Linked DNA regions of Canis lupus familiaris. The protein of the gene in region 2 purifies or fractionates together with the protein of the main gene of each other region. This does not show direct contact. Links are inferred from orthologs where the notes say so. Each region holds a gene or a part of one and is shown on either strand. Other genes may lie near its edges. The genes, in order: FAM167A and CDC42BPB.

What was found.
Region 1: the proteins of CDC42BPB (region 2) and FAM167A purify together in Homo sapiens (co-immunoprecipitation; 3 studies listed by BioGRID and IntAct, counting the BioPlex papers as one, with this or other methods). This does not show direct contact. The link is inferred for Canis lupus familiaris from reciprocal best matches to the Homo sapiens genes CDC42BPB and FAM167A.

What each region holds. Positions count from the first base shown.
Region 1 is NC_049246.1:26,612,571-26,616,377, reverse strand, and holds part of FAM167A (protein FAM167A), read right to left. Parts: intron 1,873-3,807; 5' UTR 1,443-1,872; coding exon 1,074-1,442; intron 1-1,073.
Region 2 is NC_049229.1:71,230,420-71,234,226, forward strand, and holds part of CDC42BPB (serine/threonine-protein kinase MRCK beta), read right to left. Parts: intron 2,627-3,807; coding exon 2,521-2,626; intron 1,589-2,520; coding exon 1,452-1,588; intron 1,234-1,451; coding exon 1,094-1,233; intron 1-1,093. UniProt on the Homo sapiens protein: Serine/threonine-protein kinase which is an important downstream effector of CDC42 and plays a role in the regulation of cytoskeleton reorganization and cell migration. Regulates actin cytoskeletal reorganization via phosphorylation of PPP1R12C and MYL9/MLC2.

The DNA.
Region 1 (3,807 bases), on a different chromosome or scaffold from region 2:
ATTTCAACCCGTGAGGAATTCTAGGCCCCAAAGGGGATTTATATTTCGTGATTTTGCAGAACAAACCAGGGAGGCCTCTGCCTACCCTGTTGACACAGCAGTTATGAGTGGCTCTCCAAGGCAGCTGGCTGTTGGTGCTGGCTCACCTGTGTCCAGAGTGGCCTGACAGGGCAGGTGTTACCTGGGCCACAGGTAAGGAGGAGGGACAGGAGTCGAGGTCATGGGGAGCATTAGCACCGTGCCTGGCTTTGCCGAGGGGCCACGATACCCAGGACCAGTGATTCTCCCCTGGGCAATGGGCACAAAACTCTGAACACCTATTCTCTTTCCCACCTGCTGAGAGATGCCACTGATGGGAGCCTGCTGTGCCCGTGGGCGGAGGAAAGCTGCTGCCCTCCCCCTCCCCAAGCATACCTGTTACTCATGCTCATTCCCCCAGATGCCCCTCCAGGTGCTGACTTCTGGGCAGACTCTCACTCAACCTCCAAGACCCAGCCCAAAGCTCTCAGGCCCCATCAACCGCGCCGCCCTCACAGCAGCTCCTTACACACAGCTCAGTATGAAGGGAGCACTGTGGGCTGACCTTGAGCCACGTAGAGCAACCTCCAGCCACACAGCTCTGGGCCTGCACAGCCCCATCTGTACTTACCCCCCACAGCCCCAGGGTTCCAGCACAGCGCCCCCTCCCCACTCCCGTGGAGCAGAGTAGCTTGCTGAGGAGGGCTCCTAGCAGGTGGGATGGACAGTGAGAACATTTTGGAGGGGAGGGACATCACACTCCAGGAACATCCTTCACATTTCGGGAATAAACCTATGAGACTCTGTGCAAGGAGGGCGTTGGGGAAGGTCGGGGCACACAGGCTTCCTCCTCCTCCTGTGACTAGGGGCTGATTGGCATGTGGACCTCACGTAACCGCACAGTAATGAGGTCTACCCTTGCTTTAATGGGGGAAATGACAGATGCCCAATTGGGAGGGATAGAGGTTGGGGGAGAGGCGGAGAGATAAAGAGAGACAGACAGAGGAGAGAGAGAGATGCCTTTTCTGGGGATTCTTGGAGGGGCAGCCACTTACCAGTTCCTTCCTGAGCCAGGCTATAGCTTCGTCAATACTTTCAAAGCCTTCCAGCTTGCCGGTGGGCTGGGGCCCAGCATCCTGGCTGGCACGCCTGTTAGGTGGGGGATGCTGCTTGGACCCCCTCCTTGGGGATGAGGGCTCCTCCTGCCCACACTCCCCCTGCTCAGCAGCTGGCCTCGGGAAGGGCCATGTCTGCTCTTCCAGCCTGGCTTGCCATTCCAAGTAGGAAGGCCTCCGGGTCTCCAGCCTCAGTTTCTCGGTGAGGGCCTTCAGGCTCCGCAGGTGGTCATCGGGAGGCAGGGCTGCTCCTGCTGGCTCTTCTTCCCCACCAACCACTTCTTCTACTTGGATCTGAGGCACAGACATCCTAGAGTCTGCTGGGGCGGCCAGGCATGGGAGGTGGTGGGGGGCGGTGTGGGAATCTTGGTGGGTGGCAAGATTGGTTCCCCCTCAGGAGTGATCTCATCCAGCTGGGTTCAAGGCTGCTGAGGGCATCGCTGGGATGTGAGGAGCTCCCTGGAGCTGACAGGGACCAGGATGTGGACGAGCCACACAGTGTGCCCTCCGGAGCAGTGGTGGAGGTTCAGTGTTTAAGATTCTTCCCGGAGTCCTGTGGGTGCCATGCTTCACAAAAGGCAGGAACAGACAAGTGTCAGCAGGAATTTTGGGGGGGGCAGATTTGCCAAGATCAGTCCTGGAGGTGCAGGCAGATCAGAGAGAGGCAGGGAAGCAGGACTGAGCTCCCTCATGGGCAAGGGCAGGCGGTGAGAAGCTGCCTGCCGGCTGGTAGGAGGCCCTGCAGGAAGGATGCAAATGATGTCAGTACTAATCCCGCCCCTGGCAGACCTGCCACATTCCTGAGCTCCTTAGGAGGGGAAACTGAGGCTCAGAGAGGTCAGGTGACAGGGCTGCGGATAGTTCACTCAGGACTAGAAGTGAGGCAATTTCAAGGCTTAACCCAATGCAGAGAAGTCAAGAATAAATCAGGGCTCTCTACAGGGTTTCACCACTTTTGAAATGATTCCACCTCCATTATCACATTCAATCCTCATGGCAAGTCTGTAGTTACTTCTCCGAGTTCCCATTTTGCATGGGAGGAACCTGAGGCTCTTAGAGGTTGAATGACTCACCAGAGAGCTCTTGGCCATTAGCAAGGACAAGTCTGGGTTGTCTGATTCTGAAGGATCAGGTCTCTCCTCCGAGCGACAGCTACCTGAGGGTCCCCAGGCAGACACTGTTGTGCCATGGGTCTCAGGTCAGGGACCGCTGACCCCACCCAGCACAGCCCCCCCACCCTTCTTCAGGCACTGGCTCTTCCAGGTCTTACTGCGCACTCTCAGCTGCTTCTTCCAAGAACAACACCTTACCTCACGCTTCCGAGGAGGAAGCAAATAAACCTGCAACGGCTGAGGGAAGAGCCGACCTCACTCAAGGAGGATTGTTAAACCAAGCGAGGTTTGTGACTCACCATTCTAGAAAGATGGGTCGCACATTTACCTAAAATGCCTGCACCGCAGCGCCTCGTGGACAAGGGCTGTGGCTTTCTGATGTGACTTGGCCTTCCCACCTCTGGGGAGGGGGTCTGAGGGCAGGTAGAGAAATCACTCCGAGTCCCAGGCCAAGTCCAAGTGAAGCTCCAGCCTCCCAGCCCCATCCCTGTGCCCACAGAGTCCAGGCAGGTGGAGATGGAGATGGGTACATCAGAGTTGGGGATGTTTGACTTGGACCAAGGAGAGAAGTCCTTGGTTCTCAGCCGGCTCTTGAAAAAAAATGTGTGCTGAGGGCATGCTGAAAAAGCATGAATTCATACGGAAAGATGTCCAAGATAAAGCTTAGGTGAGAAAACCCAAAACATTCATAGTCTGGAGAGTACACTGTTGGTGTGGAAGAGGAGAAGGGGAAGATTTTTATTGATTTCTATATACCTAAAATGATCTCTGCAAAGAGAAAAACGAAAACTAAGAGTCCTGATGACTTGTTTGGGTGACAGGAACTGGGCATGGGTGTTGGTGGGCAGGCATATGAAGAGGCAGAGAATGCGGGGAGTGGGGAGCAAAATAAAAACAGAGACTTGGCCCCCTGGGGAGGCTCTGGGGCTTCTCTCCCACCGAGCAGTGGAGATATTCAAGAAGAGCAGGACTTTCTGTCTTTCTGGACTGTTTCTACAATCCCCGCCTGCAACACGATCTGACCAGAGGAAGTCTGGCCATCCTCCCCATGCTCTGAGCCTGGCCCATTTGAGGGCATCCCTGAGGAATGAGGAGGAATAGTCTACCCCAACTAATAGAGAAACCTACTGTTCACCTCTAGCCACCCAGATGGGAATCCCCAGAGGAACCTTCACAAAAATAGATTCCCAGGCTCCATTCCCAAGGGGTTCTGATTCAAGCAACTTGGGATGGGACGTTAAGGCTCCGCAGGTGATGTGAGGAAACAGCCAGGGCTGAGAACCACTGGTTCTGAGCTAGAACACTAGACTAGAGATCAGATGGCGTAGGTGCAGGGCCTGTCAGGCTTGCTGAGCCTCAGTTTCCTTGCCTATAAAATGGGGGTGATCATACCAATCTCCTAGGTTTGGGAGGATTGGCAAACTAAGGTTTGTATCCACTTTCTGCAGGTTTAGCAAGCTCTGCAAACGTGGGGGTGTTCTCGCAAGGGGCTTTCAATGCACTCTCAAGGTTACACAGGCTATTTTAGAGTCTCTCTGAATCTAAAGACCTATTAGCAGCCC
Region 2 (3,807 bases):
TCTCATGAGAAAGGACACTTTCACGGCTCTACGTTCCAGAATATAAGATAGGCCCCTAGCCTCCCCCTGGATAAGAGTGCCTTATGCTGACAAAGCCAACAGACTCGACCCTGCAGGTGTAGTGATGAGGGATGTGAGAGCAAAAGCCTCTTCCCTGAGCCACACTATTCTGGCCCGTGCCAGACGCTTCCAGCTACGAACATATTGCTGATTAGGCCCATATTTGGCTACGATCAAGTGGCTGCTTGTTAATGGCTTCTAAAGAAGGGGACACAACCTGGGCAAACAGCTGTGCAAGGCCCATATCTGACACCCTGAATCCTGAGCTCCACCTGACACCACACCCCAGGGCAGCCTGCTGGGGGGCTCTTTGCTACCAGGCCAGGGCCCACCTGTGCCCAGTGACCAATAAGAGGGATCACCTGAGGGATCTGGAAGTGCAGGTGACTCAGCTACATGTCTGTCCCTGACACCATCATCAGGAGCACCCGCTGCAGCCTGCTGTCCTTAGCCCGGGGCAGGTGCCAATGGGCAGACAGGACATCAGGCCCTGTGCTCAGCGTGTGCCTTCTATTAACTGCTTTGATCTTCACAACTAACCTCCGACCTAATGACGAAATCATGCCCATTTTACCAACGGGAAAACACAGAGCTGGACGCTAACCATAGGGTAGCCAGGAGGGAGGGAAGACACTGTGCCATCTCCATATGTCGGATACTGCGAAGGCACGTGATGACAGGTGAAGTGGTGAGGGAGGGCATCATGCGGCAAAGCCCAGGGCTCTAGATTTCTGTTTCACACAGGACGTTCAGGTGCTGACTCCTTGGGCTTGGCAGTGTGTTTCTGGGATATCTCCTACCTGTTCTTGGGGCAGGCAATCATCTTAAAATGCCTGTGCCAAATTGCTGAGTGCAAAAATACCCACGCAGGGAAGTTTCTAGTGCACACATCAAGCATCTGTTTTTAAAACTCTGTTGACTAAGGAAGTGAAGGTATAAATGAGGTTAAGGATTACCCAGCAACAAACTCACATTTTGGCTAAAGAGAAGTCACTCAGAACTCACAGAACAGGACAGAACACACAGGACAGACCTGAGGTCCAGGACCTGGCTGGCGACGACACCAGGCTGGGTGGATTTTCCTTCAGGCAGGTCGTACAGAAAGAGCTTGCAGTCACAGACCACCGCGTAAGCCCGCTGCCATCCTTTCTTCACCCCAGTAGGCTTTGGGACCTACAGTTAACAGTGACCACGTTCCACTGGGCCAGAAAGGCCAGCCGCGGCCTTACTGCCCAGGAGGGGAGGCTCCTGGGACCAGCACAAACTTCACAAAGCCACAAAGGTCACTGTCAAGAACAGTGTGGAGTGACTGTAGGTTATCAGTCCCGAGACAGGGAGAGCAGAACTGAGGCAAAAGTGTCTGTCCCCACCCAGATCTTTACACATCCTACCTTGACATAGCCCTTGTAGGCTGTTCCTATGCCTCTCTGCACGTCGACACCGAGCGGCCGCTTGGACTGCTCAGGAGGGATGGGGCACACCTGGGGAGCACTCTCTTTGCAGGACACATGGCAAGCAAATGAGCACACTGGGAAAGTGAAGAAGCACCATAATCAGAACCTGCTTCCTCCAGAGCAGAAGCCGCCAGAGAGCGTTTACCACAGAGGAGGCCTCTCGGTCATGCCCACGTGTCATGGGAATGGTCCCAACATCCTGTTTCTGGAACAGTTCCCACAAAGCCCTGGGACTCTGGCACCGAGTTGCTCTGGAGCCTGTCTGTGGGGGCCTTACTGGGGGTGTGGCCTCAGAGCTGCTGCTCCCCCAGGAGCCGTGCCTCACTCCCCATAGCTAAGTCCCCAAATTGCCTGCAGAGCAAACCACCTGCAGGCGTGTAACAGGGCAGACATACAGGGGGTCCTAGCAGACGCTTGGAAGGCCTGCCAGCAAACAAGGAAAAAGGGTTCTACCAGATAGAAACACGCAAAGCTGCTTTTGCAGAGCAATTTCCCGTGACTAGTGGCTGTCACTTGTCATTGTGTGTGAATTCAGCTGGCTGCTCACTGGTGAGGTGGATAATCACATCACACCGAGGTGGTCACGGTGGCCCATGTGAGTGCAGCACCCAGCACAGGGCAGCAGCACAGCATAGAGGTGGTTACGAGGCCAACAATGACATGAGGAGACAAAATTCTGGTGCTCACCCTCAAATAATGTAACAGTGGAAGAGCATAAAGTTCTATTTACTCTCTGCTCTTCCCGATTTTACAGAAGAACTGGGGGTGTTTCATTCTATAGTAACAACAACCCACAGATAGCCTGGGCCGCCCCCCCGCACTGGGCTCTCCCGCTGCGGCAAGGATTCTGGACCGTGTCTCCCTAACCTCTAAACCTCTACGGAGCGTTTATAAAACTAAAGACAGAGAACCTGCCCTCGGCTAGCTCACCATTAGGCTTCCTGCTTCAGCCTCATCTGACTTTGGAATAATGCTCCCCTTGAGATGGCATGCGGCTAACACTCACCCTCGCAGGCGTAGCCCTGCCGGATCAGCCCCACCATCAGGGACGTGCAGTGGCTACACTGTGTGGGGCTGGAGAAGGATTTGATGCTGAACTGGTGAGCTTTCGGCTGGAGGAGGAAAACCAAGAAGGTGAGATCCAGGCTCTGGGCAGAGACGATCAATCTGCTCGTGATCAAGTTTATAAACTTGGGCATGACCTTGAGAAGCTGCAAATGCGCAATTTCACTCTAAGGTGTATATGCTCCTTCCTGGTGTTAACCAAAGAGTAGAGCTTAACACCCACCTATCGAGCTTGAGCCAGAAAATCAATCAACATGTTTTCTCTGGTGAGTGGTCATGCTACCAAAAACAGCAAGGAGGGCTGGGCAGGGGAACTGTGCCTCCTGGAGGCTCCTGGGCACTGGCCTGGGCCCTCATTTTGGGGTAGGCTGGCACCCAGAGCCGCACTTGCATGTGAGACCAAGAGACACACAAGAAATGAACTGCAGCCCTGTTCCTAAGTGGAAGGGCCTCTCTGCCCCTTGTTGGAAGGGCAGAAGTATCACAACACGATCAACAAGGAAACGAAACGTGAGGCTGAAGAGAGGAGCAGGCTGGAGATGCAGGACACGGAGTGTATAAAGCTCTGACATAGCAAAAGGAAGGATTATTACTCAGGGATACAGATACTACAGGACTATTTGTAAAAAGCAACACAAAATCCAGAGGGCCGTCTACTCTGCAAGAATCCAAGCCCAAAGCCTAACAACGTCAAGTGTCTTGTCTCTAGCTAGGCCACTGTCTATGGCTGAGGCCATGCCTTGTTAAAGGAAAATGAAGCATCTAAGTGCATCAAGCCAAATGCCTTCTAAGCTTGAAACTTTGGGCCTCCTCATCACTAGAACTGTGGGGCTAGCACTCGGCTCTCCAGACACACTCGTGGGAAAGATGAGTTACACAACTGCACGCTGCTGGGTGCAGTTCCACTTACTCTGGGGAATAACACCCTCCCATGAACCATATGCTTCTCTACCATTCTAAGTGCAGACAGACAAGTGGAAGTCAGCTGGAAGGAGGAGCATGGTGGACATGTGACACAGAGTGGTCACTGCGTGAGAAGGGATCAGGGTCTGGGAGATGAAGAAGAGGAGACCACAGTCAGAAATTTCCCAATTAACATGTGACCATGTGTCATTCACGGACTTCATTAAGGAGACACAGGGTCAGGGGTGCCTGGGTGGCTCAGCCGGTTAAGTGTCTTCCTTTGGCTCGGGTCATGATCTCTGGGTCCTGGGACTGAGCCCTGCAT